Linked DNA regions of Caenorhabditis elegans. The protein of the gene in region 3 purifies or fractionates together with the protein of the main gene of each other region. This does not show direct contact. Each region holds a gene or a part of one and is shown on either strand. Other genes may lie near its edges. The genes, in order: ZK470.6, C11D2.3 and elac-2.

Region 1 (9,149 bases), on a different chromosome or scaffold from region 3:
TAACTTTGTCGACTGGTGGTTGAACAAATGGTCCGTGAAATACTCTTGTGTGTTGGGATCTAGACTCAATTTTTAGGTTGGTAGATCTGGATATGAACAATGCAGATAACAGTACCAGCAAAGAAGAGTTCAATAGGAATGTTGACGTTCTTGGTTACACGTTCAATGTCACATTCCAAACTTATGAACTCACATTCATTATCAGTACCGTTATCATGTCGATTCTCGGAGTGGTTCGATCGGTTTGGTTCCGCAATGCACAATTGATGGCTTCTCGAATTCTTCATAATTCCATGTTTGACTGTGTTCTCAAAACTGAATCCGAGTTTTTCGACAAAAATTCTGAAGGTAAGGCTAGGGTCTAGGCAGGCTAGGGTCTTTAGAACATTGTTGGTTTTAGGAATGATTCTGAATCGCTTTTCAAAAGACATAGGCCTCACTGATGACTTGCTTGCGTTCACGTACTTTGAATTTGTTTTTGTAAGTTTATCAATAATTTATTGATTATCTTAACAAACTTCAACTTTGTTTACAGGGTACGTTGACATTTGTGGGAATAGTTGGATTAGTCTCCATGGTCAGACCTATTGTCATTCTTGCCTGCGCGTTCATAACTGCAGGGTTCTACTTCTGTAGGAAAATGTACGTTCATCGTTCACGGGAATTGAAGAGAATTGAGGCAGCCGGTAAGCATTACTTCGCGGTTCTTGAAAACAAAACAGTTTTGAATATTTCAGCTCGGTCTCCACTGAACACTACTATTACATCTACTGTCCATGGTTTGTCGACTATTCGAGCATACCGAAAAGAAAACGAGATGATTGAAAAGTTTTGCGCTCTTCATGTAAGTTTCGAATACATTTTATTTTACAAAGTACAATTTTAATATATTGCCAAACTTTTGAGAATGTTAAAAATTTACTAATCTATGTTAAGTCGAGCCCGATTGAGCTCAGAGCAAGTCAAAGGTTTTTTCGCCGCACATCCCTGATCGGAATACTAAATTTAGCTGATTTTAACGTTGCTCAAGGCCATTAGTGACTACAAGAACGACATCCTATCCTAAAACACTACTCGGAAAAACCCTAAGAATTTTTCTTAGAAAGAAGAACCCCTAAAATCTCCTAGAAGAGTGGAAACGACAACCTAGAAAAGATCCTCTAAGACCCACCCTATAGGAAATACCCCCTAAAAACACCTAGGTAAGACCCCCCTCCCTAACGCCAGAGCCCATTTCTCGAACGAACTATTTTAAAATTTGACCTTTTCACAGGATGTTTATATGGCCGCGTACAACATGGGACTTTTGTCCGCCCGTTGGTTCGGAATTTGCATCGACTTTTTGGTGTCTGTTTTCGTTTCCATTGTGGCGATTGTTGTTGTTCTTCAATATGGTAAGTCAACACAGTAACGTTTATCCACCGCGTCCATCGTATCTTATTTCAAAACAACACTCCGAGATTTTTAGAAACCCTGACCGTCGGAGAAGTCGGATTGTGCCTTGTGTGCGCGGTTCAGTTGAGTGGATTCTTCTCGTGGATCATGCGGCAAAGCGCCGAGCTGGAGAACGGGGTGAGTTTATTTTTTGCTTGTTTCTTTTTTTATCGCGGGAGATTCCTCCAATTTGCTCCCCCTTCTCCTCCTCCTGCTCCGCCATCAAAGGTCGAATTGAGCTCACTATGCGGTTGGCGAAACATCATGATTATAAAGAGTTTTGGACAATGCTCAAGCGCGAACTGCCCTGATCAGACGATTGAAGTGGTTTGTCGCATTTTCCACACACACACACACACACACATCACAACAAACACAAATGGAATGTTTGTCATGGTGGCGCCAAATGAGCGACCCACCCGAAACTCTCAATTCGGTCTTTTATTCTAAATGAATACAATGTGAACACAGCAAATGTTGCAAATGAAGACAATACAAACATAGTAGTATGCGGATTGAATTCAAACTGTCGATTTGCAGATGGTTTCCGTGGAACGAGTGCTAGAGTACACCAAATTGAAATCTGAAGAAGAAGCCAGAAGACCACATGATGCATACCTCGATAAACAGCTACTGAACTCTTGGCCAACGAAAGGAGAAATCGAGTTTGAAAATGTATCTGTCAATTATGGGGAGACCAAAGTACTCAAAAATCTTAGCTTTGTTGTTTTAGGTGGACAAAAGGTGAGTTACTAACTTTTTGTTCAGAGTATTACTTCTGAAACTTAGATTGGAGTCGTCGGCCGAACTGGTGCTGGTAAATCAACACTCATTAAAATTATTTTTGGACTGAAAGAGTACTGCTCTGGACGTGTCACTATCGACGGTGTGGATCTGGATCACATTAGTCTTAACTTCAGAAGAGGAGGAATGTCTATCATTCCGCAGGAGCCCGTAATCTTTTCAGGAACGGTCCGGGAGAATTTGGACCCGTTCGATGAGTATGATGATGCTACTATTTGGTTTGCGTTAGAGCAGGTATGGCTTTAATTTATTGAAGAATAACATGTGAGAATGAAATTTTTATAAGCCATTTTTATGGCCCCTATAATCTTGTTTTAACACCATTGGCTTTACAAATTTTATTGAAAAAGTAAAATGTTGACTGGGCAAAGATTGAGCAAGACTTGGACAAGACATAAGCAAGACTTGAGGAAGACTTGGACATGACCCCTCCCAAGTCTGATCCAACTTTTTCTCATATTTTAACCAAGTTCAAACTTCACCTCACCGTAGCCCTAGTTTTGTCCTATGTGTGCCTAAATCTGATCCAACGGTCTAATTTAATACGAGATTCCGAAATTCATATGAAATCGAAATTTTTAATAGATTCTGTAGGATAATCGTTGAAAAAATTTTCAGTGTGAGCTTAAACGTTCCATCACAAAAGAAAAAGGATTGAACGTCGAATTGGGCCAACGGGGAGTCAGCCTGTCTGTCGGTCAGCGTCAACTTTTCTGTCTTGCCCGAGCAATGATCCACCGATCCAAAATTCTTGTTATTGATGAAGCAACCGCAAATGTTGATGGAGTGACAGATGCTTGCATCCAGAAAACAATTCGAGACTTTTTCAAAAACGCCACAATCATCACGGTGGCCCACCGTCTTCACACCATTATGAACAGCGATAATGTAATGGTAAGTGGTTTCTCAACAAGCAAACAATGCCTAGGTTCGCAACTTGCAGGTGTTTGAAAAAGGAGAGCTCGTCGAGTTTGACAAACCGATCACTTTGCTGGATGATCAGAGCTCGCTGTTTTCAAGAATGGCTGCTCAATCAGGGGCTGAAAATTTTGACTCCCTTCGGGCGGCTGCATTGGCCCATGCAATCGATGATCAGTCATCGTATACGGATAATAGTTAAAGTTTCATTAAATTTCCATGTTTTCTAAATATTCAAATCATAACTTGTTTCACTTTCACATCATTTTATAGCAATTCAATTGTTCAATGTCACCTTTTCAAAGGGAATCGAGATTGTTTTTATTTCACTTTTTATTCCATCATTCCATTGAGCACAATAATTCCTTGTTCATACCATGATCTAAGATCATTTCGGTTTTGGCCCAGTGATCGCATCGTCCACATCGTGTAGCTTTATATGTGTCGAATTTAATTTTTCTTTGGTAATATCAGCAATTTTGTTCTGTGGTTTTTTTCTGACTTTCATGATTCTAATCGAAACATGTATTTCATGCAAGCTATTCTTTTCTCCATCCCCCTCATTTTTTTCCAATAAAGAAACTCTGTTATTTTTCTGTTTTTATTTTGTGCTCTGTGTTTGCACTGTCCCATGGAAATAAGCAGACCATTTCTGTGACGAGTGTCTGATAAAAACTTGTCAAGAGTGAGGAAGAGAGCCGTCTAGAAAGCAATGAGCAAATCTTCAAATGCCAAAAATGGCAATCTCGAGTGCTTCACCATTTGCTCTAATTAGAAATTGATCGAGCGACAAATGCGGGCTCTCGAGTGATTTGGCGGAGCTTTGGAACCAGGTGCGAATCGCGTTTTTGTCGGACTTTCAAGAACGCCCCACATGTTGGGCGCTCTACAAAAAAAGACGGTCAGGTATATAAAGCACAGAAAACAGCAGAACAGAGCGCACCCGTCGACCTCCCGCTAGCACCTGAGGCAATTCAAAAACCAACCCGCACCTTTTCGTGCGTCGAGTGCTCTATTCAATTTGCACTCATCTGTGTTTTATTCTAAACATTCGATACACCCAGGTTGCGGCCAGTTCCAAAAAAGTTTCCAAGTGAAGATTTCAACAAAAATTCTGTTAACGATGAATTTCCGTTTTATTCTACTATTCTTAATATTCCCTTTTGTTTTTGCAAGTTTAGAAGAATTTGAGCAAGATAGCGCTGAAATTAAAAAAGAAGTGGTATTTTTTTGTTTACTTGTGTTTGTTTTGATTTAGTTTATTTTTTAGCCTGCTCGTTTTCGATCTTTCAAAAACTTTGGTAGCCATCAAGATGCCAGTAATCAAGCTGCAGAAGTAGCTGGCTCGAACGAAGATAACACTGATGACCCTGAAGTTGCACCGGATGCTCCATACCTTATGGCAGATTCTTCTCTAGAACAAGAAGAAGAATGCGTTGCTCTTCCGAATCGAACACGAGTTCGTCCGTCGTTTTTCCAGTGTAAAGAAGGTACAGTACTTCTAGTAAAACAGAGCCCTAAATACCAAAAATTGTAGACACAAAGTTTGAACTTCACGGCGGTGCAATTACAAACGGCAACGGTGATGATACCTACCCGGTTTCCTTCAACTCGCCTATTCGAATTTTCCTCGACATCACCAGTAATTCTAACAAACGATATGACAATTTGGGCGTCGAAGTGTCAATCTTTAAACGTTCAACCGGATGGTTCGGATGTGGGTGGATGTTTTTACCAAGCTTTGGGCTGTTGTAAGTTGTTTTCTTTGCAGAACACCGAAAAACATTGAATGTTTTTTTAAGGAGCAACTATGATATGTGTGACGACAACCCGTCATGTCCGGTGACTCCGGGACGTCAGGTTATCGAATTCGAGATTGATCCAACAAAGTTGTTTACGAATCTGTTCCGAATGATTCACTATGACTTGGTGGGTACTGACCATAAGGTAAACGCGATGGCTATTGTACTGGAGAGCCGTTGACGGACGCTTAGCAAATACGTTTTTTTTTCTTAAATTGAAATATTAAAAAGAAATCCACTTCTTCAGTATACTTCAATTTTTCAGTCCGCCTACCAAATGATGGTTCGAGTCCGAGACAATCGAGATCCCTACCGAGAGTTGCTTTGTGCTACGATCCAAACTAGAATCACACTCTGAGACCAAGACACTTTTTATTTATTTATTACCAAGATCCTTATCAGCAGTATTTATGAACGATAACCGGGACGCAACCCAATTAATTTAATTCCCCTTCCCTACCTTCTCCCCCAGTGAACACCAGAACCAAGTGGTTTCTATTCATCCAGTTGTTTATGATTATGACTCTCTGTTACAGGTTATCAAAAAATGAATAATATAGTATATTCTGTTTTGATATGTGGGAATGGTCTGGAACAACTAAGGTGCATGTGTGAATAACAAGAATTGAAAATCACATGGGATCCGGCTTTCGTTAGATCTCTGTTTTGACACATGTTTATCTCGAGTAATAACGCTGAAAATTCCATAATTCCATAATCATTCTGCTGAGAGAGTAAATTAATTTCTTGCTACTCAGCGGAGAAAACTTCCAGAGGAATTAATTAGTCAAAAAGAAAAACAACAAACAAATAATATTTGTTGAGTAATGTACACTACTTGCAAAACTTTTGTCGACCAATGAGCATCAAATGCAATATGTTAAGCGATTAACATTAACGAAACTTTAAAAAATATGTATATAAACCTGATCGTTGAGAAAAAAGTAAATAACACCGGGGAAAGTGCGCGGGAATGGTGATAATGAAGTGGAAGCGTTGTTCGGGATAAGACCAGTAGCTGGAATGCAGTCTAGTATAAGAAACCTTTTGCTAACCTTTTACACAATAAATAATTAGTGCACTGGCATTTTGGAAAGATGGGAACGCTGAGGACAACAATAGATACGGTAATAACTTATGTGAGAGAAGTAAATAATTTTAGGTTACAAAGATTGCGGAATGTTCTGAGAAACTCTGATAATGCAGATAATAAAAAGCTTCGGTACAATATAAAAACACAATAAAATAAGTCAAAATAAAAGATTGAATATGAAAATCTGGTTTCAAAGTACTTTGACTATGATCAATATTTGTTTAATTTTTATTGATTAATATTAGATCTTCTCGGCATTTGGCTTCAACTTCTCGCTCAAGTTTGACCCTAAAAATATTAACTTGGACAAAAGTTGGGCGGGACTTTGGCAGAACTTGGATTCAGGCTGGGCTAAAGCTTATCCGAAGTTTGACCCAACTCTAGCCAAACTTTGGCCCAAAATTTTCTTGTTTCGTTTTAAACTTGGGTAGATGTTTGGCAAGAGTTGAGTCAAACATGGGTTTGGTGCTGCCAAAATCCAAGTTGCAGTTGCATATTGGTGTAACCTCCAAGTTTTGCCAAGGTCATGCACAACTTTTGCCTATTTTTAGTTTTTGTTTTCTGAGTAAGCTCAAAGGCAAAGTAACCCTACTGGGGAAATAAGTAAAAACCATACATTTTGTTTAAAAATTTCCAAATATCATAGTTAAACTCTTCACAATTTTTTTGAAATCTTTTTATTTCTATTAACTGTCATAGAATGTTAACACAGATTTTTGAAAGTCGTCAATCAGAAAAATGATCCTTCGACTTTAATGGACTTATTTTTCATATATTAATACTCTAACACTTTAGGAATTCCAACCTGCGACAGTTTTCTCAAAAAGTGACACAAACTCAGTAATTGACACTATTTGAATGTCAATAAAACGTTTTTCATCACTTCTTGAAATGTTTTTTGGCCATTTTTGGCATTATAGGAGGTTTTAATAATTTTCCTCGCTGGCGCAACTACAGCTTCAATGAAAACTTTCATACTTTGGAGTAAAGTGTTACGCTTTGTAAAAAAAATAGCATATGTACAGTTTTTTCTACTTAAATGAAATGTAAGACGTATTTTTAATGCTTTATATTTGAAACAGACCTTTTCTAACTGAGTGAAACTGTCAAACTTAAAAAAAGCTTGACTCGAGCAAAAATTTGAGGAGCTCAAATCTAAGCTTTTTCAATGATTGTTCAAAGTTTGACCAGTCTTACCCAAGTATAAAACGACACAGAATTGTTTTTCAAACTTGGGCAGGATTCTATAAAACTTTGTCAAAGTTTTCCAACATTTGCTAAATTTTAAACCAATTTTAAAACCGTACCTAGAACTTGCACAAACAGCTGCTGGCCGGAATATTCAGTAAGAATGGGACATTTCAATTCTAGAACATCTGAACATATGTCACGTTTCAATTTGTTTAAAACAATCAAAATGCACGAGAACCTAAAATGTAACGTTCACAAACACTTGAGAAACAAGTTGTGAGTTCACAAGTTTTAACAGTCCTCAAACCCTGCGATGAATAATTTGTGGCATTTTTTTAAGAGAAAATTTCAAAATAATTCAAGATTTGTGATTTAGTGTTTTGTTCGTTGATTACGATCTTTGGAAAGTTGAACGATGAAGTCCTAAAACATAAAACCGTCTTATCTGTTGTTTTTAAATTTTTTCAAATTTTTATCTTCTCACTTCAGTTTAATCTTAATGATTGTAGTTTACTCAAGGAAGTGGATTAATAAAAAATTCAACTGTTCATGTCAAGTATGTCACTTGGTTTTGTTATTGGCATCTTCTCCGAGTTCAAATGTTCACGTCCATGTTCTTGATCTGTTAATGACCAATTGAATTGTTTTCATATATTTTCGATTTTTCAGAAATACAACAAAAAATCGTTGAATTTCTCATTCATTTATTTGGTAAAACATGACCGGACAAAAAACATTTGGAACAAAAAATAGTGAAATAATCTGTACACGTTGGCAAGAAAACAGTTATTAGAGTATATACATAACAAGTTGAGATCGGTAGCCTTTTGGAGATGTCAAATCGCTGCCTACTCGCTCGATCGGAGTTATCCACTGTTTCCATAGGACGGGAATCTGTCGGTTTTGCGTCCGGATTGTGGTATGCTTGATGTAGAATTAAAGCTCAAAATTCTCGAGTTAGGGATGAAGGATTCACAGAAGGAGCCAAGTGTTTGTGTCCTTGACATCAAAAGATCGTAAACATCGGAGGAAAGTTGGGGGTCGTTGAGTATTGTAATGCTCATCTGAAATGAAAGTATGATTATTAATGTAACGTTTTTATTTGACAGAAAAAAAGGAAGTGAATGATAAGTAGGCAGGGCTCAAGAAGATTCAACTCATCCCCGATCGTTGCAAAAATGGAATGGCGTTCGAGAAGATGAAATCAGAGCAGATCTCACGGCAGAACACAAGAGATTTGGAGTTTATATACCAAATCGGATTTCCCGTGTAAGGACACTGGAAAGTGAGTTCTATGTACTACGTCTTTCAGTGAAATTCGAAGGAAAAAAGAACAAAGAACACAAAAACCTCAGTTTTTCCCAACTTATTTTGTTAGTAAAGGGGGAGGGAATTACTGATAGAATAACAACTTTTTCAATTAATCAAGAAGCAACTTTATCCCTCGTGCAGCTTGGGATTTGTTTCTCCACCCCAATATTGATGTCTCTAGTGGATACGGTAGCCCGCAAAAAAAAGTAAAAACAACTGTATCATGAAACATACTAACCTTGCGATTCACGTTTCTGCTAAAATTTAGAAATATTTCTCTTCATCGGAAGCTAGTACTGTGTTTCTGAAATTCACCGCGCAGCCCCATGTGACGGCAGGTTTCAAGGTGTGAAACAAATCAAAATAGACGAAAAATTTGCAAAGGTTATCTATCTATAAACGAAACTGTAGAGACGCAGTGATAAGCAATGGCTACTACTAGTTCGAATGGTCATTCGTTGGAAGAAGCCACATTGAAGGTCACATGAAATGAAATTGAAGAGAAAACTGGGGTAAAATGAACTTTGGCCTTGTTACAGAAAATTGTCAAAAAATTTTGGGGGGATTCAGGTTATCCTAGAAACATGATTCATTTT
Region 2 (10,792 bases), 1.4 Mb from region 3:
AATCGCGAAACAGTATTTTTTTTCATTCTGGATAATTTTTTCCATTTGTCGTAAGAGTCTTTAAAAACTTAATCAATTATTCAAATTTTCTCCTGAACCCGGTTTTGGTAATGAATTAGAATATAGATTCCTACATTCTTCAGACGGAAGTTACGTATTTTGGGCTTTACAAATACGAAATCGGACCAGAAAAATATACTCCACAAATATTGAACGGAAACTTCAGACAAATCAGAGGACGATATCAAAATGGACGGAACGAGGTGGTCGCTTAAATCTTTCACAATAACTGAATGAAGTGGTTTACCAATATCAGGAATGTCTGAACCATTATCATTCTCAGCTCCATCGAAAGCATGCTCAATTGGATCAGCAACTGGAATTTCTTCCAGATCCTCTAATTTATTTTTCAAAGTGTTTTCTTCACTACCGCCTCCTGGAGTGTTGGTCTCACCTGAAACACATGTTATTTTTAAATATAATCCGTACACGACAAATTTGCTCAATTCATGGAATGAAGAAACACATCCTGAGATTTTCTACATTGTATCTCAACTTTTGGAGCACTTACTGTCACAGCAGATTAAGGAAAATCATAGACAGAATATTTAAATTGCATTACTTTTTAATGTTGAAGTAAACTCCTTTTTAATAACTTACTGATTCAGCAGATTACCGCAAATGAAGAGTAAACTATGACTAGAAGGTATTTGCTACTGAAGAGCTAGTGGTGAAACAGTGTTTTTTTATAGTCTGGAAAATTTTGTTGAAGCCTTCAAAACTCAAGCTGAAATTAATTTCCTAATTTGTCCTCTGACATTTTTCAGTGATTAAGATCCATGTTATGCAAGTTCTTAAATTAAATTTTAAATGTTTAGTATTTTCATTGACGTACTCTGGGGAAGCCAAGTCAAATTAAAATGATGTGTTTTTAGCTTTACAAATAAATATTCTGATCAGAAACATATAATCCAAAACATTGAGTGTAAATTTCAGATAAACCAGAGGAAGATGCCAAAATAGACCAACTAGGTGGTCGCTTAGACCTCTCACAATAACTGAAACTGACAGAGAAACTTACCCATGTCGGGGATGTCTGAGCCATTATCATTCTCAGCTTCATCGGAAGCATGCTCAATTAGATCAGCAACTTTCTCAGCAACTGGGATTTCTTCCAGATCCTCCATTTTATTTTGTGAAGTGTTTTCTTCATTTTCGGATCCTGAAGTGTTGGTCTCACCTGGAACACATGTAATTTTCGAAAATAATCCGCACAAATTGGAGCAACTGATAGAATAAAGAAACGAATCCGCATTAGATATTCTACATTGTATCTTAATTTTTTTTTTGGGTTTTGAAACAGTTACAGATTCCGCAGATAGAGACAATGTTGTAAATTTACATGTAAAACGAATATGGTCAGAAATTTATTGCTATTGAAGAGCTAGTGGTGAAACAGTATTTTTTAATAGTCTGGAAAACTTTCTTTAGCCTTTGTTGGAGTCTTTGAGACTCAAGCTGAAATTCCTAAATTGTCCCTGTAAACTTTTTCGGTGATTACATGCATGTTATGCAAACTTCTTAACTAAATTATAAATGTTTCGAGATTTACATTGACGTAGGAGGGGAGGGAGCATAGTCAGATTAAAATAATGTATTTTTGGCTCTACAAATAAATAATCCGACCGGAAACATATACGCCAAAAACATTGAGCGGAAATTTCAGACAAACCAAAAGAAGATGCTTAAATGGACGGAACTAGGTGATCGCTTAGATCTTTCAAAATACCATGAAAAAATTCACAAGAACTCACCAACATCCAAGATTTCTGAGTCATTCTGAATCTCAGCTTCATTGGAAGCATGCTCATTTGGATCAGCTACTACTTCAGCACCTGGGATTTCTTCCAGATCCCCCGTCTCATTTTCCGTTTCTGAAATCTTCCCGTCACTTCCCCCTTCTGACGTGTTGGCTACACCTGAAACATAAATTATTTTCGAAAATAATCCGTACACGACAAATTGTCTTAATTCGTGGAATAAAGGAACAAATCCGGATTAGATTTTCTACTTTGTATCGTTATTTCGGTATTTAAAACTCTTACTGACTCAGAAGATTAAGGATTTATGATTATTACGTGAAAATCAGAAATTATATTTTTGAAACACGAAGAAAATCTAATAAGGAGAGAGCTCGGAGCTTAACTATGAAGAGATGAAATAGTGAAGCAATTGCTGAAAAAACTTCTGGGAATTTGGATAGGTTGTAACAAAAATAAATTATCTACGGTTTCTGAGAAAGCATGAATTGAGAGATTAGTCGAATTCAGTAACAGTTACTGTGGGAAGATATATTTAAAAAATCGATTTAATTATTTTGAATATAAACTACGTACCTTCACAGACTTCATTCTCCATTTTTTGTCCGTCTTGTGCCGGTTGTCGTTCACATTCTTCGGTTCCATTCATAATTACTATCAAGCTGTCCAGTAGTAGCTGGAACATTATATTTAATAAAAAATAGCGGGAAAAAAAACGGAATGAAAAGTCAATTTTTATCTACAAATGATTCATAATCTACAGTTTCCTTTCTTCTCTCTCGCTGCACCTGGCACGCCTCATAAAAAGAGAAACAAACGACCTTTCGCTGTTCAAATTTTGAAAAGTCATAAAAGTTCTCGCTTTTTGTCGGAGCTATGCCTATAATAATTTGGAAATGTAATGTAAGTTAAGGTATGTTGAGTAAGTTGGTGCACAATGTTTAAATAAATAAGTGGTTTTTAGTATTTTCGAAAAAATATCCCCATAAAAAAATGCTCCAAATGCCTTCTCTCTCACCTCTTTTTCAAGAAAATTAACTCAAAAATCATAAATCACATTCAAAAATATTTGAAAAACACACAACGAAATTAGAAAAAAAGAGAGGCGACTGTGGAGAAGGAGGACGGCAATAAGAGAAAAGATAAGAGGGCACAGCCACAAAAGAAAATGGAAACATCAACTGAGTATAGTGGGCAAAAGCGAATGGGCGGAGAAAATAAAATTCATGAATAATTATGGACAATTGAAAGAAAGCGTGTAAATGGTAATATGGGACTCTTGAAACCGACAAAAATTACAGGGATTTAAATTATAATTTAAAAAAAAATAATAATTAAAGGATAATTAAATTTGATTTACAAAGTTCAAAGAAAATAGTTCTATTTTCAGACTGTGCATATTCTATACACTATATGCAAATCAATGCTGTCAGTAACGTAGACATATGTCTTGGGTTACTGTATCACAAAGATCAAATCACTTAAATTTGCGGCAATCATTTTTCAACAAGAATCCCAAAAAAAGAACTCGGCAAATCGGTCCAATTTGTTAGCGTACTCTTGCAACTACTGTTGAGCACTTTAAATTTTCAACAAATTTCTAAAGATTTTCAGACCATTTTTTAAATTTCTATTGAATTAATTTTCTAAATTGCAAAAATTTGCTATGAACTTGCGACGTTTTGTCAAGAAGATGCCTCTGACGTCAAATTTTTCCAGATCTCAATTCAAAATTCAACTCTATATTTAACTCTCAACTGAGTTTGGAATATGTTTTATGATGTATGAAAAACATTAATTTTTTTTGCAAAGTATATAGGAGTTTCAAGCATTTAAATTGGTCAATTGGACAGAAAACAAATTCAAAATACATTTTTTATCAAGAAGTTGAATATGTGGGTAGATCACTCGTAAAATTATAGCCTTGCGGAAAATGTGAAACGAAACAAAACTTTAAAATTTAAAGTAAGAAAATGGCAAAATCGGAAAAAAAATGAGGGAGCTGAACGATTTGAGTAATCACACGTTTCTTTTCAGGGGTTTATAAAATATCGAAAATCGTTTCATATTCACGGTATAGGTGCGGTGAAATCGAATTGTTTCCAATTGTACGACCTGTCTTACAATGATTAGAAAAAAAATAAGTTTTTATTTGTATGGTCCATATAACTTTCCTTTCAAAGGTTTTCAATGTTCAAAGTAGACATAGACCCAAAAAAAGATTATTTCTCTTTAACATAAAACCTGTCTGAATAAAAATCTTGGATGCCGTTAATTTTCAAGGACTAGATAATAGCCTGTAAGCCTATAGGTAAACCATTTTTCTGTAAAACTGTTTAATTCCAACATTCGTGTCTGCGCATCAATGTAGAACACTTATTTGACTTGCAAATAGACAAAACAAAGATAAATGTGACAGTCGCGTATTTCTTTTGATAGGGACAAAAGCTGTGTGAATAATATCACGAGAGAAAACTCATGACAGTGAATAAAAGTGCATGGTTAATGTCCAGAAAGCAAATATTGAATGGTAATTTGACATTCAATTGTTGAATGTAAAAAGACTTATTCATATCTCAGTTTTTATGCGACTATTGTAGTGATTCAAGTACTTCATATTTATAGTAATAATAACTCCAAATGATACCAAATTTAATCTATTCGAATATTTTCAGTTTTATTGTTGTTCACTAGACATCCCCTTTGATGAGAACGGGACGTTTTCCTGGCCCTAATATTCGTCTTCCTAATGCCTACACCGGCAACTTTTTGTAAATTGTTGTTTTTGTAAATTGTTGTTCGGTGTTTTGCAGAGGAAGAAGCTGGGAGGAGACTGTGTCTCTCATTTTGGTGGGTATCTGAAGCTGTCTAAATACGTGAATTTTAAAGTGGCGTGCAGAGGCGTGACGTCATATATGAACGTGCAATTTCAAAAAATCCGTATTCATAATCACTTTTGGCCCTGACTTTTTAATTTTTTTTTCCACTCAAGCCTTTATTTTCTGCCAATTATGCTTCCAGTTCACTGGACAATTTTGCAACTCAACCAGAGCCATGCCATGACACTAAATAAAATTTGAAACTGGTTCAGTAACCTTTCACTGCTGCTCAAAATGTTGCTCAAAATTTGAGTTTATTTTTGCTTTTCAAAAGTTTCAATGTTCCCATCGATTGCAGGTAAGAAAGTTATATTTCTTACGTTTTCTCTTTAGACCTGTGATAAAATTAAATTTTGTTGAAGGTTCTAACAAACCTGGTGCTTCTTCATCAACACTGAGATGGCAGAAATCAACGAGGAGGATCTCATATGTGAAGTTACCTTCTATTCAGTCAAAAGGGAAACAAGGTCAAGTAAGTTATCTGAATAATAGTAACATTTCAACGTAACAGTACATTTTTTGACTGAAAACTTAATGTTTAATATTTAAAAAATTTATTTCGCTGTGAGACCCGCTTGAATGTTTTGTTTATTGTGAAGAATAACCACAACATGAGTAATTAAAAATATCTATGGAAAACTAGAAACTTTTCATATTACAGAAAGTAACCTCTGTCCCTTCTGAAGATGAACCCATACCATCTGATCCTGGACCATCACTTCCTCCGATTCCAACAATTACACCGTCATTGTGCATTGATAATCAATATTTTTCAAACTATATCAGTGAAAAACCAAAAATGGACGATGTTGACTATTTGAGCAGAGCGTTCAGTTCGTAAGTTTACTATTAAACAACATTTTTTTCGATTTGTATTCTATAGGATCTTCCAAAAAATGGTGGTTGAATGTTTTATCCTGATTATATGAAAAGATATTAAAGTTCTGAAACAGTAAATTTTTTTTTTCATCACGAAGTCCGCGACTATTCTTGGAATTTATCTTTGGAATTTTTAAGGCGGCTAAATTAAAAAAAATATTTTTTTCGGCTTCGAATTCTACACATATTCGTGTTGTGAGATTGAATTGATGAGAATTTTAAGTATAAAAATTCACAAATGTTTCATAAGCTTTTTCACTGTTTCACCGGTTGAGATAAACAAAAGCTTTAAAAAATTTGCAATTAGTCTCTTGTCCCGCAAAAAAGTTATTTAATAGCTTTTGTGAAATCTTCCAAAATTTATAAATTACAAAAATTACTGAACATAATCACTTCCCTGATATTATCGAAAAAATACGATCGCACAAATTTCTCATAATATATTTTTGATCTACCTGTTGATCTTGTTGCCGTTGTTATTTTGTTGTGGCTGTCTTGTCAAAGGAAGAGGAGGAGCCTAGTCAACAAGGTAAATCAAAAATAAATTATGAGAAAATTGTGCGATCGTATTCTTTCGATAATATCTCATAGCGATCATACTGTTGCCGGAGTATGATGAACTGTAGATTACTGTAGTATCGCGACGAGATATCCGGTACCTGGTTTGAGAAAGTTCTTTTCAGAAATTTCAATTTAGATTTGCGAAAATCCAGGGAAATCTACATGCTCAGAGAACAAACTATTTCGAGAAGCGGGGACTTCTTGATGCTATTGAATTGTGAGTTATTATGGGGACGCAGAAGAGATTTCAAAGGAGCAGAATGTTCCCTTTGAAATCGATGTGGAAACGCGCTCCACAGCCAATTAAAACCGCCCCGCCTCCCACAGTTGGGTCTCGTATTAGGTGCCAAGACTGTAAATTTAAACTTTTCAGTTAGTTTTGCCGATTTTGTCAGCTATCAAACATTTTTGTTATTTTTTCTGTTGTTTGTTAAATGATTTTCGTGCCGAATTAATTGTTATAAATGCATGTTTAGGCCAGCAGGAAACACATCAAAATAGACGGAGAATGATTAGAAAATGGTAATAATTATATTTAGAAATCGCTCGAATTTTCAGTTTTCCCGCCAAATACCTAGCGAGATAATATTTGCTCATGTGTACTTTAATGCAAAAATAATTTTTCCAGGAACATTGAGCAGCAGAATAATAAAATCAGTGAGGCTCTTGGATGCTTGGCTGTTTGCAATGAAGTAACCGAGAAGTATCAATGTGCTCTGGACAATTCTTTTCAGGTTTTAGTCGATGATTTCTCGGAGAAAGCCTTTAAGTTGAGCAGCTTGACAACTCAACTTCACGCATTACGACAGACTCATCACGCGAATCAGTAAGTGAAGTTTGTTTTGTTTCGCTCTGATGTTGAGAAATTGCAGGCAAGTTCGCAAAAATGAGGAATCTCAACTGGAAGAAATAGCGTGGCGTATTGAAAGGGAAGAAAAGAGAATCAAGAAACTCGACGGAAAACTTTGGAAATTTTATGAGAATCGAGATGGAAAAGGAAAAGATACAACAAAAGAAAGTGCATGAAAATATAAATTAAATCCCAAAATGGACATATAAAATAAAGATCATCTCAAATTATTGGAAGTCTGATAAAGAGCACGACGACCGGGAATTCGAGCACATCAGTTCAACGATTTTTCAGCCAAGTGCCACAGCCCATCGTTCAAATAATGAAGATTTTCAATTCCGTTTCCTTTATTCACAGATTGAATTTCCTCACTGCTCATTGACATCAAACCAATTGCCAACGCATGTTGCTTTCCTTCAGCCATCACAGCAACCACTGAATCCTTTGGTACGAGAGGAGTGAGTTTAGCTCCTGGCGATGTTAATCCAGGACACATTATTGAAGATCCGTTCAGGATGAATTTGATGGCACCTTTGTCGACCTGAAATTTGAATTTTCATCAATAAATGGAAATGTTGAACCAGGTAAATAATCAATTTATAACCAACCTGTTGATGTGGAAGAATGAATGGATACTTGTGAAGTGTTCTCAAAGTTGGAATGTAATCAGTGTTACGTGTTTTAACAAATCGCACGACACCCAGATGATCGGCGAGCAATTCAATGTGATCCTTGCATTTGATCACTTTGAAATTCTCCTTTTTCGGGAGGATCTCCTCAAGATGTGGCTCCAAGTAGGGGAAGTTCTCGATCAGCTTCTTGCGAATTCCTTTCTAAAAATTTTTATAATTATTAGTTAATTAAAATTAAAGATGATACCTGAACACTGGACTTGAGCTGAGTAGCGCCTGTCACATCTTCCTTCTCGTCGAATTTTTTGAACATGGTTCTTGAAAAAAAATTGTAAGATTTGAACTAAATGAAAACAAGGATAAGTTTAAAAAATTGGTATACAACCAAAACAAAAGAATTCAGCAAAATAAAAACAATGTTAAAATTCATATAACAAATTAAGGCTCAAAGTGAAGTGTCAATGGAATGTGTTAAATAAAGTATTTAAAACCTGTGAAAGAAAAAAAACACGGAATGAAAACAGAAGATGATACGAAAAGCTAAAATCACTAGAATTCACACTAAAAATTAAATACTAATATTTACATATACAGATTTAATAATAAATACAGCGAGTCCTGTGGAACGGGACTTTCTTTTCAACATCCGCAGCATAAAGTCGACGATATCCCCAGACATAGACATCAACTTCCATGGCGTTAACTTCACAAACATCAGAGAATCTTGGATCGGTTTCACGAAGTTCGTTCATCTTGGCGACAATTTCCTGAAAATTTAGCGTTTAATACAACAAAATTTCAGAAATATCTGGAATCTTACATCGCAAACTGCAATAGATGCTCCTCTGAGTTCAACTTCCGCTTTTGATCCATTCTCCAATCGTTTTCCTTCACCCAATTGGCTCAAAAGTTCTTCTGAATAATCCAGAGCACCAAGATAAGCGAGAGCTTGCGGAACACGATAGTCAGCAAACATTGTGATCGTGGTAATATCCTTGAAATTTCCCGCATCATCGTGACCTTGAAGGGATCCATAGACATCCGCAACGAGAATCTGTGCTCTCTTCAGAAGCGAAACTTTTTGTCCGTTGAATTCGGCAAAATCGCGGAAAGAGACAAAGTTTTCGACGATTAATTTCAGCAAAGTTTGAGCGGATTTCTCTGATTTTATAACACAATTATAAAATTGTCCATCGAATTTCTCGAGAAGAACTTTTCCTGAATCATTGATAGCCTTCACTCGATCGTCAAGTAGTGGAATTGAGTGTCCTGAATCGGATTTGAAAATCCTGTCGATTTCTTCTCTGCCAACATTTTTCATCCATTCAGCAGAAAGTACTGGAATTCCGGCGGCTATAGCCTTGTTGACAGCGGCACATGCTGCGAAGTAACCAGTGTAAGCTTTTCCACCCCAGCTAACATCATAGTGATCTCCCTCATCCGGCCAGAATGAGAAATTGATTGTATCCACCAATAATACCCTGAAATTAATTCAATTTAATATGATTTCAAATTTAAAAAGATCAGATTTGAGGAATAGTTACAATTTAAGTTTTCTCACCACTGGACGGCATCTTTATCTCCACTTTTCGGGTGTAATTCCGGCGATAAGAAAAGAGCTTCTTTCAGAGATCCATCTTTTGCAGCTCCGAGAATCTATAAATATTAATCTACATTCATTCAACATTTATTTTTAGGATTTACATGTTCTGCTACTTTTCGAACGCCTGCCTGGTTGATTTTGACGAGATTTCCATGCTCGACGATGAATTTTCCAGATTCCGCAGGACCGAGGACTTCGTCAATAAGCATTTTCTGACCTAAAAAGTGAAAAATATGTGACAATTCTACCGAGTAGTAAAAAATGAAAATAAAAATTTTAAAGAGAAAAACGTGTTTGTTACGACGCTCCGCAGATGTGTCTCTGCGTCTCCTCCTTCTGCACAGTGCCTAGCAAATTGTCGTACGTTAAAGTGTCGTGTACGCAATGCAGACTGAAACACATTTTATTTCTCGACAAAAAATGCTGTATTTTTATATTTAAAAAATTAAAGTCGTCGTTTTACAGCTTTTTCAGATGTTTTAAAAAGTATTTCTTTAACTAAAAATCAATTAAATTACCCACTAATAGTTTCGCTAATAAAAACATTTTTCTTGATTAATCGTACAAAATTAAGGACTACATTGGAAACCTGAAAAGAAAACATCTGAAAAATTTTATATACGAAACCAATAAAAATCTGTTCATTCGGTGAAAGCACAATTAATATTCGTAAAGCGTTTTTGAATACCTCGTAACAATATAACCTGAATACATTAAAAAAGATAGATCAACAAGAGAATGTAAATAATTAAAAAATGAACTAATCAACAAGGGAATTCCACCATTTTTCAATATCTTTTGTCGTTTCACATGGCATAAGTGGTCGAGGGCTTCCATGTGTCGGTGGTACAGGCAAGGATGGAGTTATCACCTACAAGTTTTGAAAACCATTTCAAGAAAATGAAAGTGAAAGAATTACCAATGGTGAATGCTCTCCATTAAAATCATCAGACAAGTTTTTGGGAGAAAATGGAGAATCTTCTCCACGTTCTTCTACGTCAGGTAGATCATAGACGTTTAGCTGGAGCTGAAATTTGGAATATATTATTACGAAAACAACATTTTACATTTTACTTTAAGCTGCAAAACACACAGACTAGATATTAAAAAAATAAAAATAAAAAAAGGCATTGACACGAACTCACATGAAAATTCTTTGGCTGTCCGGAACCCTTTCGGATTTCAGAATTAGCTCGTTTCGGAAGCAACTGGACGGTTTCAGGCGATCGCGACTGCAATGGAAATAAGAAAAAGCGGTAGGCAAAAATGGGTGGAGGCTGGGAGTGTTTTGTGTGAAGCAGTTAAAAAACTAAATTTGAAATAAAAATATTACTCTTTCAATTATTAAACAAGATGGAATTTTGCGGTTAATCTAACGTTGCAACTTTATCAAAAAACTTCTACAACTTTATCAAAAGTAAGATATAACCATATATAGATTTATTAGTAAAAATTTAATTTTTTAAGAATACAATTAATAAAACTGTTAAGTGTCTAGTTAGGGTTAGTTAGTTTGGGGGTTATTCAGATGGGATATAAAAACCAAACAAAACTCTGACTGTACAGAG
Region 3 (12,516 bases):
AAGAGAATTATTGGTTCAACCACCTGGAGAAAAGGAACAAATTGTCAAAGGAGGATATGATGTGAGACGAATGGATGGAACAGTAGCAACTATTATTGTAGATCACATTCAATCACTGTTGAAAATGTTTGTGCGCGGTTAACTTGTTATTTGTATAATTTTGCTTGTATTTGTTAAATTTGGAGTACTTTAGTAAATAAAGAATATATAATAACAATAATCATAATTTATTATGTTCTTGAAGAAGCGTGAAAAGAAAAGAAAGTTGATACATACATACAAAGTTTCGTGGTCAGAGGGTAGACTGGGAGATTGTGGGCATAGTCAGAGAGCATAAGAAAGAATTGGATCAAAGAACAGGATAAATAATAGATCGTAGGGATTGAATTTTAATGATCAAGAGTAGATGTCGCTCATTTCCTAGCATAGTTATCCTTGTTTAATTTGGATACAAATTTTTTTGAATGATGGTTGACTTAACGTTTCCTAATTTTAGATTTACATCTGCTCCAAGAGAACTTATTTTTATAATGCGTTCTAGTGTTGTCCGAGAATGTAAAAAATACAGGTACTTTCAGATATATTTTACCGTTTAACATTTTCAAAATAATTTTTTTATCGGTGTTCAGGCGTCGTTCTTGCAGCGTTGTGATAACAAATAATTCATTTCTTTCGGTCGAGGCTTTATATTCCGAAACACTTATTGTACAAATACGCGTATATTACTTGATAATCATTTCTGTGTTTTGAAAAGTGAATAAAATGTGTCCCAGAGGAACATGGTTAAATACAATTTTAGTTCGACCCCTTTTCTCGATTTTAATCAATACATTTCTGTGATAGCATTGAGAAGGAGAACACCAATATTTCAATCTGCTATAGAGTTTCGAGTCGGTACAAATATTTTCTAAGATGTGTACAACATTTGGAAGCGGGTGTTCCCTGAATTTTTGTAAAAAAAATTAGAGACTCTGTAGTTTTTTATATCAAACAGTTTCCCTCCCAACCCCGATTGAAACCATCACAGTGACTTTGGTATTTTCCTTTCTCAGAAAATCGATTCTCAAGTATTCTCAAGATTCTCAAGCAGTATGTTGTTGTATTTTTATTGACATCAATTGATTACATGGTATGGGGTAATTGGTTTTTTGAGGGATTCCAGCATACAAAACATGACAGATGTGTTAGCTAATAGAGAGGATTATGAGCCATGAGACCTAGAGACAAGAAAATGTTGGGCTAATATTGACTAGTCCTCATTTGAATAGCAGCAGATATCCCTTTTTCAATTATACATGCATATTTTCAATTGAAATTTCAACAAAAAATCATTTAAAACATTAAAAATTGTGTTTTGACGTTGATAAAATATTTGTATGAATTTTCAGACAATTTTTCATAACTAAATCAATATTGTCAGACTAACGATCAAATTGTACCTAATAGAAAAGTTGTCGAAATTGAACTTCAACTACTAACAGTTTTTGATATGTTCCATGAAACAAAAGTTCGAAATTTTTCAAAATATTTCTCAAAACTTTGAACAGACGTAATAATTGTTGAATTTTTAGAGAAGTTTAATTAAGTTTTTTCGGCATTTTACATGATTCAATCACTTGCATTTGTTTTGATAATTCTCTTGAGAATGAGTTGCTACTCATAATTATTGATAACTGAGTTGTACGAGAAAACTTTTTTAATGCATTCTGAAGTAGGAATCTAATCAGATCTAGTGCATACATGGAGAAAGACTGTTAAACTGTTCTAACATGTGCGTGTCTCTGCACGCTTTAGACAAAGAAAAATATGTATAATATCTCTAAGATGAGAATTAGAGAATTGGGGAAGGGGGGTCAACTGGACAGGACCACCCAATCTCTCCATCTGCTCATTCTTCATTTGTGGCCATGGTCGACGACGTATCTGTTCCTTTCCAACTGCTCAAATTACCTCAAAAATCGAGTAACTACGTGTTTCACAGAATGCTTGTAGCAGATTTGTAAGTAAAACATATTTTTTCCAATGTTAACTCAAATTATTTTTGATCAAATATCACTCAATCACATCTCAATCAATCACACAAAATATCACAAAAAATACCACTAGTGGAATTTTATTAGATAATTATTGATTTCCTATCACTCAACCTGAACAATGTTTTTTTACAGAATAGGATTCTCACTCACATCTAAAAATGCAAAGCTACAAACAAAACGCCTAGGTCTGAAAGCCGAGGATGTCCATCTTGAAATACGTTCTGGCATAATAATTCATATTTCCCTTCAACATACTTTCACGTATTTTAAATTCTACACTAACGAATACCGAACCTCAGAGCATCGTCTTGAAGAAGAGTGCATTAATATGTATCTCTGTACTCGATTGGGTGAATGGAAGACACCTATATTTCGAGTGAGACAGTTTTTGGATCACGTTCTTGATATATTTCATGTAACAAACATTAGTGAACTAGAGATTACAACCGATCATTTTGAAACTACAATCTATGATAGTTTTGATAAACTGGAAATAGAATCTTTCTCCATGTATCATATCGATCTGAATAGATTGTCACTTCAGTATGCATTGAAAAAGTTTTCTCGTAAAGCTAATCAGTTATCAATTTTAATGAGTCGCAACCCATTCACAGCAGAAACATCTAAACAATTGCAAGTGGTTTTAACACGTAACATGGACCATATTGTTCTATATCACCCTATCAAATATGATCTGAACGATTTATTCGTTACTAATACTTATTCACTCATGGTTGACATGAAAATTGAAGATGTTAATATGTTCTTAAAACACTGGATTCACGGACTCGACAGAAAGTTAGAACTAGCTTGCTTTGGCTACAAAGAACTCCAATTGAAAAATGAAGCAGTTGTTGAAATACTCTTCAAAAATGTGGATTATCAAGTTGCACCAGCGGAAAGAGAATTGACAATTCATCCTACCGGATCCCAGCAGATATGTGTCAAAGGTGGTTATGATGTTAGACGAGTCGATGGAACAGAGGAAAATATTACTGTCAATAGTCAGCGAAGTTTGATTGATATGGTATTTTGGAGTTAAATTATCATTCGGTTTTTAATTAATACTAAATATGTATACTTGATTAATTATTTTAATAATTGTATTTAATACTTTAATATATATGCATATGCATTTTCAAACTGACAATGAATAAATATATTAAATTTCTACTTTAAAGTGTTCAATTTTAAGAATGTCTGACTAAAATTCCGGGTTCACTTTTTGAATCAGTTCATTTTTTCTGCTATTGCGCCACAAACGTTCAAAGGAATATTCTCTATCCACTTGAATTTATCAAGATTATGAAAATTTACACTTCTTGGGCGGAAAAAAGTTTTGACGCACATAATACGGAAACGCCGAAAAATTCCCCTATTAAACACGAACGCCGTGATCCACGGCCAATTGAAAACGTCCCGCCTTTCAACTTGTTAGGTATTGGCGGGTAAACTAGGAATTCAAACGCTTTCATTTTTCTGAACGGTTTCAATCGTTAAAACTGATAACATAAAATTGATAATAAAATTTAAAAAGCAGTAGAATTCCCTTTTTCAATATCACATGCATTTTTTTTAAACAAAATAATCATTTAAAACAATTTTCAAAAAAGTCGAAAACCGCCTGTATATTTGGTTTTACCGCTAAATACCTAACGAGACCCAACGGTTGGGGTAGTCGTTTTATTTGGAGCGCGATTGCGCCTCAATTTCAAAGAGATCAGTTTTGTGCGTCCCCAATAGAACACTTGTAATTGTAACTTCACATATTGTTCTTCTGAAAAAAAGAAGCTTAATAGTACCATATAAATTTTTATTGCTGGAACCAAAAATTTTTTGTTCCAAAACTTTCCGAGAAAAAAACCTTGACAACAAAACAAGAAAATGAAAACAAAAGTAACAATGAACTAAAAACGTGAATAACTGGATGAAAAGTGAATTAATGTTGAATGTGGCCAGTCACTCAAGCCTTTAATTGACCTCGCTTTTCAGACAATTCCTTGTCTTTCAAAACCCGTTGTTCTTTTTTGATGGTTAATTCGAATAGTTCCGCCACGAATACTTCTCTGTAAATTTATAAATTTATTTATTTCAACATTTTGCTTTAAATGACAGAAAATGGACCACAAGAACCGAATATAACTGTTAAAAATTAATAAAATTATAAAATATTTCTGAATTTTTTGAAAATTGTTTCAATTTTGCAAAAAAAAATTCGAGCACAGTTATATTCGGTCATTATGGCCCATTTTCTCCTGAATACTGAATCTGAAATCTACCTAAAAATGGGAAGAAGTTTCGAAACAAGTGGTAAATGATCGAATCGAACTCTCAACATATCCATCGCCACACCAATATTTTCCTTATCAAGATATTCAGGAAGAACTGGTACTTTTGGATATCTCGCACTGAAATGTGTCAGAATAATGTGCTTGGCATTCATTCGTTTTCCAACATCGACTGCTTGACCCATTGTTGAATGACGTTTTCTCATTGCATCAGCCTGAAATTAATTGGTTGAAAAATTTCAATATTTGCCTTAAAAAACCAAAATAGTCCGAAACTCAGAAAAAATTCGCTGTTTGAATGCCTGCCAAATGAGAAATATGACAAATCAGCGAATAGCTCCGCCCATATTTCGACCAATCAGGCGGAATGAGAGGAGCAAGTCGCTGATTGGTCTTGAAGTTCTCAGTTTGGATGGAATTCAAATTAAAAAAAAAAACTGAAAAAGCGGGTTTCTAATAGTTGGATTTTTCATTATTGCACTAAAAATACGTAATATAGGGTCTCGACACGACAAAATTTTTGCCGAATGCAAAAAGTTATTCGCCTTTGAAGAATACTGTAGGTTCAAACTTTTGTTTCTGCAAGATTTCCATCGATTTTTCTCACAAGTTTATATATTTCTCAACGAAAAACTATGAAAATTCGATGAAAATTCTGTTATCTTCAATCTCTGCATTTATCCAAAAATTGTCGTGTTGAGACCCTAGCTACCGTATTTTGGCTAAAAATCTCGTACAATTTAGTAATAAAACCAAAGACGAAATTTTAGCCAATTTTTTTGGGGGTTTTGGTGTCATATCTACCTCATGACCATCTTCAAAAGTGGATTCATGAACAAGAACATCAGCATCTTTTCCTTCTTCAACCAACAAATCACATGGTTTCGTATCTCCAGAGAATACAATTCGTTTTCCAGCAACTCTCATCACAAATCCATTTGCCATTCTTGTATGATGAACTTGTACAGCCTTCAGCTCATCCAGCTTCCATGCCTTTTTATCGAAACTGCTCGACATATCCTGTAGAACATCTCTGCTCGGCGGGAGATGTGGGCTCGGAAGTCTCGGTCTTTTTCCAGGAGGCCCTCCAGGGCTCCCGGGAGGTGTTAGTGGATACCTGGAGATATCAACAATTTCGAGGAGATGCTCAATGTTTTCAAAGCAAATTGAGTAGGTCTTCATTGGTTTCAGAACATTCCGATTGCATACAAGGACTAGTGGACGGTAAGGGGCTCCGAGGGACTCGAAAGCTTCTTTTCTCCGTGCAATAATTGTGTACAGCCCATTCATATGATCCTGATGAGCGTGAGTGATAAGGACGCAGTTGAGATTTACCAGAAGCTGCTTACAACCATCTTCTCCAAAAACTGCTCTCATTTGTCCATATGTTCCTTCTCCAACATCAATTAAAATCGCACTGTTCTCTGATGCTTCCACCAGATATCCTGTCACATTTCGATATTTTGATGGAACCGCGGACGAAGTTCCGAAGAATGTTAATTTCGGAAATTCGCAGTCCATTTTATTCTCCTTCTCCAACTTCTGATATTCCTTAATCAATTCCTTCGCTTTATCCGACAGCTCTGGCTCAGCAGCTAGCAAATTGTTGACGATGGGCTCCTCGTTGAACGAAGCTCCTCGGCGCATCCAATATCGTTGCATTGGAGCCACTCGAATGAATTGATCCTGTCGTTGTGATAGCTCCTCATTTTGAGTTATAATTCCACTCCAATCAATTGGGTGAAGAGCTGGGAAGAGAGATGGAGCAATTGATCGAAGAAGGCGAGTGTGTCTGTAAATAACAATTTGGATTCTTAAAACCTATGGATTTTGTAAAACTGAAATTTTTTGAATTTTCTGATGCCGCGAGGGAACACGAAAACGGGATCTCGTCAAATAGAAGATCTGCGAAAACAGAGGTCCTGAAATCGTGCCAACTGCAGCTCTTGAGACCCTGGATCTTGTTTTCGCAGATCTCGAATTCGTAGATCTATTCAATATTTCATATTTTCCTTACTTATAGACACTTTCCACAGCTGGAATCACAGGATTCCCTCCATTGATCAGCAAATGAGTGATACTGGGATTGTTGAGCTTCTCCATCAAATGTCTGTAGGTTGGAGTATTGATTACTGCATCATCACTGATATGAACCATCTGAAAATGTATTTTTTAATGTCAATAATTCTTTTTTCAATCTTACATAATCCAACTGTTTTTCCCCATTCAAAAATGGTTGCAGTGATGATGAGTCTATCAGTGCTTTCACATGATCCTCTGTAGTACATTCTGTCACTAAAAGCAGTGGCTTGTCTCCTTCAACTTTATCCGATGAGAAAACTTGATCAGGTTGAATCGTCCTTCCATCTGGAAGAGTAACTGCTTCTCCTGATTTCAGTTTTCCAATTAGTGGACCTTTCGGTACTTTCAGTTCCATCAACTTCATCGTATCGATTCGTCTGGCTGCCTCCTTCATTTCGATTAAAAATGCAATGTCTACATTGTTGACTTTCACATTTTTACTTTTTTCGTTGTTACTTCCGATATTCAACGGTGGACTCAGAGGAATATATGTGACCTTTAATCCGGCATCCTCATAATTCTCCATTGTATATGGACGTTCTTCAACTTGAGATGGATACTTGCAGCTACCGTAATCCGAATCTTGAAATGGTCGAATACATTCCAAAAAGTGTTTGATATTCATTGCACCATGAAGTCGAGTAGACAATGCATTTGATTCCTTAGAAAGTAGAATTGATGAAATTCCAGCAATATTATCCCAATTTGCAGATGTGATGAAAAGATCAACGACGCTTGAACTTCGGATCCTAAGCTGCCACAGGAATCTGCATGCATTCTCAGGGCAGTTGAACATGTAGGTTTTCAGTGGTGTTCGAAGGATGAAGCATGCTCGGAGAAGTCCTGTTCCATTACCGAGAACTTCGATCGATACTTGACTGGGAATGTTGACAATTGAGTTGGCCGGTGGTTCGTGAGCCGCTTTTTGTTTCTTCTGCACTGCCGCCATTGATTGTCGCAGATTTGAGATGCTTGCGTTTACTTCTCGAGCTCTGAAATATTGGTAAAGTTTATTAAATAGCGTCAAAAAAATCAAAAATTCGAATTTTTTCATACAGTTTATGTATTTTTCAACTGAAATTTTGAAAAAATTGACGGAAGCATGTCAAATTTCAAGTTTTGAGGTCGAACATATATGTGAAATCTTGAAAAATGTCTCTTTAACGCATTTTGCCATTCAACAAAATTGTCGTGCCGAGACCCCGTACTGTACTTTTCAGACAAAAAATCCCAATAAAACTCACTTCAAATGTGAAGACGAATGCTTCTGAAGAATTCGGCGATTTCTGGCAATTCTCTCCTTGATACTTTCTAATAATTCTTCGTTATTATCCTTAAATAAGCAGCTGGTTGAAGAAATCAAGTGACGAGAAACTCTGAAAAGTGAGATTGTGAAAAATTGCGAAATGTGAAAGTACTAGCGGAAAAACATGCAGAAATTAAAATTGTTGTTATCCAGGTGTGGAATTTTGCAAATCTCCAACAAACTAGGTCTCGACACGACAGTTTTTGCTGCAAAACTTGAAAAAGCGTGCGCCTTTAAAGAGTACTGTAGCTTCAAAGTCTCGCCGTGGATATATCCGCGCCAGTAGGCTGTTTTTTGTGCGCTTTCGATGACGAGACTGTGGGATACATATATAATTTTTTAAACACATACAATTTCAAGAAAACGGGATGAAAAACTATGAAATATCCGCAAAAACAAAAGTTTAAAATTACAGTACTCTTTAAAGGCGCACGCCTCTTTGCAGTTTGCAAAACTTTCTCGCGTCGAGACCATATACCGTATTTTTAGCATAAAAACATTTCATGCAATTTTCCGCAAAATTTCCGATATTTTTATACACTTTATGCCAAAAAACAACATTTTCATGTTTTCAAATTTTTAAAATGCATTTCTAGCAAAAAACACCGTGAAATTCATTGTTTAAAAATCAAATATCGATATTTTCAGGCAAAATGTAGAAAAATTCCCGTTTTTTCTCAAAACCTGGAGTTTCTGTATAAAAATTTCGCGTTTTTTAAACGAGAAATCTCGAATTTCAAGGTTTTCGGGTAAAAAATAATGAAATTTCAGAATTTTTGCCTAAAATCGCAAATTTTCTCGTCTATTTCAATTGGGGGGACCACTCACAAACCCTTACAGAATCCGATTCTCTACAGTTTTCCTCGCAATCGCTCCGAGCATCAGCTTCGAGCTTTCAGCTGAAATTTATTTGAATTTCATGCACTCTATTGTGCTAAAGAGCTGGAAGTTAATGTATAATTTCAAGATTTAATTTTACTTTAAACACGATTGAATCATCATGATATTATAAACAACGTCTTCATCGGAAAAAGAAATAGGGAACAGTGAAGATTATTAAAAAGAAATTAAAGGGGAAAGAAATTCGAAAAAACAGGGGAGAGATGGAGATGCCGTGCACCCATACGGATCTGAAACTTGATTTTTGGAAGGAAAGCGCGAATCTAAATAAGATTCGTGATCGCAATGAACATCATCAACAAAACAAACAACACTAATGTAATATGTAACTAATAAAATTGGAGCTCCTAAAAAATGTAGAGGAATCGGCCGATCACCGAAGTTGGAGGGGGGAAAATTGAGATAAGAGACAAAAGCATAAAGAAAAACGGATATGAGTGAAAAAAGATTTAGGACAGATTTGGTAATCCAGTTGGAATTCCGAAGGGTCTCGTTTGGTCGAGTCCTGGTTCTGCTTGACTCTTTTGTCCCAGACTGCGTGGATCGTCGAGAGCTTCTGGCTGCAAAAATAGTGAATAAATAAATAAATAAGTTTTGAGCCAGAAAACAAAACATACCGGCGGCTGTGTTGGATCCATCATTGCTCCCATCCAGCGGGTGGTCACCAATCCGACTCCTTCGATCATAGCCAGAATTACAGAGCCAAGAATCGCACTTCCTGCCATCACCTAAACAAAAATTATTAAATTATTATTAATTCACTAAATTAAAGCTATTCTGCTACCTTTGGTCCTGAACGGATCGCCAAAAGAGCTCCAGTCAATCCTCCAGAAACAATAGAGTTGATGGGGTCTTCCTTCTTGCGGATGGCGACAAGACAACAATCGATTGTACTGAACATTCCTCCCCAAGCGGCAAACTGAACTCCTGTTAATGTGCTTCTCATTCGTACTTCTCGCATCATCCCAACCTAAATTAATCAATTAATTAAGTATTTTTGTCTTTAAAAAATTAATCACCAATTTCTTTCCTTTCGCCGCATTTTTATATCCTCCAAAAGCTTGGAAAATGGATCCTCCAACGAGACCCATCGCAAACGCCGATCCAATATCATCTCCGATACGATATGGGCTGGAAAAAATTATTTTCAGTAAAAAAACCAATTTTAGGAAATCTTACCATGGCTCTCTGGTGTACTCTTCCATTTTTGTGTGTATTTATTCCCTGAAAACAGAAATTGATTAAATTTATTGATTTTAAAGCGGTAAAAGTGCAGTTTTTTGTAAAGAATTGAGTTGAAAAATGAATCTGAAAGCTCGAGAAAAGTGCACGAGAAGTGCGCCATCACGCAAATTTCACGAGACATGCGTCAGCAAAGAATTGCTTGCGTCCTTCTTGACTTTCGTTTTTTCTATCGTTTTTATTTTTATTTATTTCTTTGAATCATTAACTTTTATCTTAAAAGTTTAAATCTTAAACATTAAAGTTAAATAAAATAAATATTTTCTTTAGTTTGTGACTAGATTTAATAAAAATTAACAAGGATAAATACTTTAAAAACAGTTTTTATTTAAGAATATAGATTATAAAAATGATAAAAATACATTGTGAATAGTTTAAGCTAGCAGAGTAGTTTGAAGTGCTCATAAATGGATAGAAGAAGTCGTGAGGTAGTCGAATATCAACGTAAGGTAAAGCTGAAAATATGTTCTTCGGAGGTGGTGTGACTTCTGTGAATGAAATTGAGATTGGCATACGAATTTCTTGGCCAGAAAGATACGGAACCTGAATAAAAAACTAATTTTGTATACATTAAATAAGAAGGTCATACATCATCTAAAAGTAGCTGTGAGTTTCCTGCAATTATAACCTCTCGATAGTTTTTTGTAGATCCTTGCTTGGAATAGTAGATTTGAAGTAACGAGGACACAGGTAAACGGCAGGATATTGTGGAAGGTGATAGCTGAAATTAAAAAAATATATAAATTAAATAGCTAATTAAATAATAAATACTTCTTCCCAAGTAACATTAACTCTCCCAACGGAAGCTGGATGTGCATCTTCTGAAGGCGATGAAACAAGTACGGATGGATAAACTTGTTCGTAGAATGCTCTCGCTTTTGCACGAGCATCTTCGCAATTTATTGTGGAAATCGTGCACACAGAAGACATCGATCGAAGGAAGAACACAGGAGATGGTGCAATAGATCCAGAATAGCAGTTGCCTAGTGTTGGAACAGCGAATGGAACGGGAATAGAACCTGAAATATTTTTGAAAATGTAGAACAAATATAAGATCTACAATTTGAAATAACCTTTAACCCTATAAGTTTGCTCCCCAGCTTTATATCCTACAACAGTCTGATTTGTCTCTATCTCACTGGCAACCACAAGCGGAATCCAATAAACTGAAAATGTCTGCTCGAACCAATTATTATCTACATTTCCAGGAAGACTATCATATTGGGCATCAATCTCAACGGAATTCGTTTTTATCCCATTCATTCGGAATATAATATTTGCAGATTTCAAAACTCCATAACACATTGAATTATTCCAAACTGGAGCTATAAATTGGGCGGTGCTGAGCCTTGGAATCGCAATCGTCTCATTTTCGGTTCGTTCTACAAAATCGCCGTTTCCAAACAGAGCCTGAGCATTGAGAAACTCATTTTCGGAACAATGAGACAAAATATCAGTGGTGGCGAGAGGCTTGCACTTTACTGTCATATTCCTTTTCGTTATCACATTTTGAGTTCCAGTACAGAAATCGGATGCTGAAATTGCAGCGGGAAATTTGAATAGGCGAACGGCTCTTGAACTTCCGAAATGTAAGAGTTCTAACTGAAAAAAAAAAGAAATCTCAATTCATTATTAACCGAAGTCTTGAGATTTATCTCGAAAACTACTGTATTTACCCGGTCTCAACACGACATAATTTTTTGATGCGAGGAGATGTGCGCCTTTAAAAGAGTACTGTAATTTCAAACTTTCATCTCTGCGAAATTTTTGATAGATTTTTCACATTTTCTCATGATTTGTAATATGTATGGGTAAATTATTAAAAATCAATGAAAATTCCGCAGAAACGAATATTTGAAATTACAGAACTCCTTTAAAGGCGCATATTTATCTTTTCGCGTTTTACAAACAAAAGCGTGTCGAGACCAGGTACAGTATTTCTGGCGCAAAATTTTCCGTCTGCGTAGATCTTTAATTGTGTTACATTTTCTTGTGAATCAGATTCATCTTGCTGCCATCTAGATTTTGAAAATTCGTTCCATTGCTCTTCGCCATTCACAATTTCCACGTCACCATATTCCAAATCATCTAAATTCAAAAAAGCTCCGTAATTTGTTCGCGTTCAGCTAAAAAAAGCCCACCATTTTGCTTGGAGACGCAGAACAAACGAGAAGTTGGAAATATCGAATCAATCCGGTGCCGAACAACTGACGGATAACAAACCTCTGGAGTATCAGCCGAACAATAAGTTAAAAGAAAAATAAATCCAAGAAGATGCATGACAAAAAGCTCGTTCCGATTTCTTGGTGCATTGGTGCCCATTTTGGTTGCTATGGTAGCGGAAGAGTGTACACCTGCTGTGATGCGACTGTGGGGAAAAGGAAAACGAATTTAGGAAAATTATTTATTTTCCAAATTGACGTATATTCTTGCTACTAAAAATGAGAATGACACAAAATTAGTGCAATATATAAAAGTAAAACAATCGAAAGTGCCTAACTATGAAAAATTGCCGTAGCTAGGCGAGAACATTTAGGGGAATATTTAGAGGGACTTGGCGGATTCAACCTCGATGTACTTGATGAGATCTGCACGCTCGTCAGCCTTCTTGAGTCCAGCGAACACCATCTTGGTTCCTGGGATGTACTTCTTTGGGTTGAGG

The links.
Region 1: the proteins of elac-2 (region 3) and ZK470.6 fractionate together in Caenorhabditis elegans (co-fractionation; one large-scale study listed by BioGRID). This does not show direct contact.
Region 2: the proteins of elac-2 (region 3) and C11D2.3 fractionate together in Caenorhabditis elegans (co-fractionation; one large-scale study listed by BioGRID). This does not show direct contact.

What each region holds. Positions count from the first base shown.
Region 1 is NC_003284.9:4,172,438-4,181,586, reverse strand, and holds ZK470.6 (MD-2-related lipid-recognition domain-containing protein), read left to right. Parts: upstream 1-4,279; coding exon 4,280-4,378; intron 4,379-4,426; coding exon 4,427-4,646; intron 4,647-4,693; coding exon 4,694-4,907; intron 4,908-4,958; coding exon 4,959-5,103; intron 5,104-5,223; coding exon 5,224-5,316; 3' UTR 5,317-5,522; downstream 5,523-9,149. Other genes in the region: mrp-6 (Multidrug resistance-associated protein lethal(2)03659), read left to right, coding at 1-30, 77-348, 401-480, 536-686, 738-844, 1,274-1,394, 1,469-1,572, 1,975-2,178 and 3 more.
Region 2 is NC_003282.8:6,147,459-6,158,250, forward strand, and holds C11D2.3 (BLOC-1-related complex subunit 5), read left to right. Parts: upstream 1-4,354; 5' UTR 4,355-4,444; intron 4,445-4,495; 5' UTR 4,496-4,978; coding exon 4,979-4,997; intron 4,998-5,061; coding exon 5,062-5,171; intron 5,172-5,360; coding exon 5,361-5,536; intron 5,537-5,585; exon of another isoform or gene 5,586-5,606; intron 5,607-5,881; exon of another isoform or gene 5,882-5,906; intron 5,907-6,275; coding exon 6,276-6,356; intron 6,357-6,767; coding exon 6,768-6,965; intron 6,966-7,011; coding exon 7,012-7,165; 3' UTR 7,166-7,219; downstream 7,220-10,792. Other genes in the region: C11D2.7 (PUA domain-containing protein), read right to left, coding at 7,264-7,530, 7,598-7,822, 7,869-7,934; C11D2.4 (Queuosine 5'-phosphate N-glycosylase/hydrolase), read right to left, coding at 8,218-8,388, 8,442-9,102, 9,183-9,277, 9,326-9,433; unc-77 (Sodium leak channel NALCN), read right to left, coding at 9,985-10,095, 10,144-10,251, 10,370-10,456.
Region 3 is NC_003282.8:4,735,657-4,748,172, forward strand, and holds elac-2 (Zinc phosphodiesterase ELAC protein 2 homolog), read right to left. Parts: upstream 8,612-12,516; 5' UTR 8,595-8,611; coding exon 8,551-8,594; intron 7,783-8,550; coding exon 7,651-7,782; intron 7,399-7,650; coding exon 6,528-7,398; intron 6,482-6,527; coding exon 6,342-6,481; intron 6,117-6,341; coding exon 5,129-6,116; intron 4,540-5,128; coding exon 4,316-4,539; intron 4,103-4,315; coding exon 4,000-4,102; 3' UTR 3,834-3,999; downstream 1-3,833. Other genes in the region: fbxb-78 (F-box associated domain-containing protein), read left to right, coding at 1,908-1,999, 2,169-3,078; timm-17B.1 (putative mitochondrial import inner membrane translocase subunit tim-17B.1), read right to left, coding at 9,062-9,172, 9,230-9,340, 9,397-9,582, 9,632-9,743, 9,792-9,817; tctn-1 (Tectonic domain-containing protein), read right to left, coding at 10,179-10,397, 10,444-10,575, 10,626-10,873, 10,928-11,456, 11,839-11,942, 11,996-12,176; cyc-2.1 (Cytochrome c 2.1), read right to left, coding at 12,399-12,516. UniProt on the Caenorhabditis elegans protein: Zinc phosphodiesterase, which displays some tRNA 3'-processing endonuclease activity. Probably involved in tRNA maturation, by removing a 3'-trailer from precursor tRNA. Involved in germline proliferation.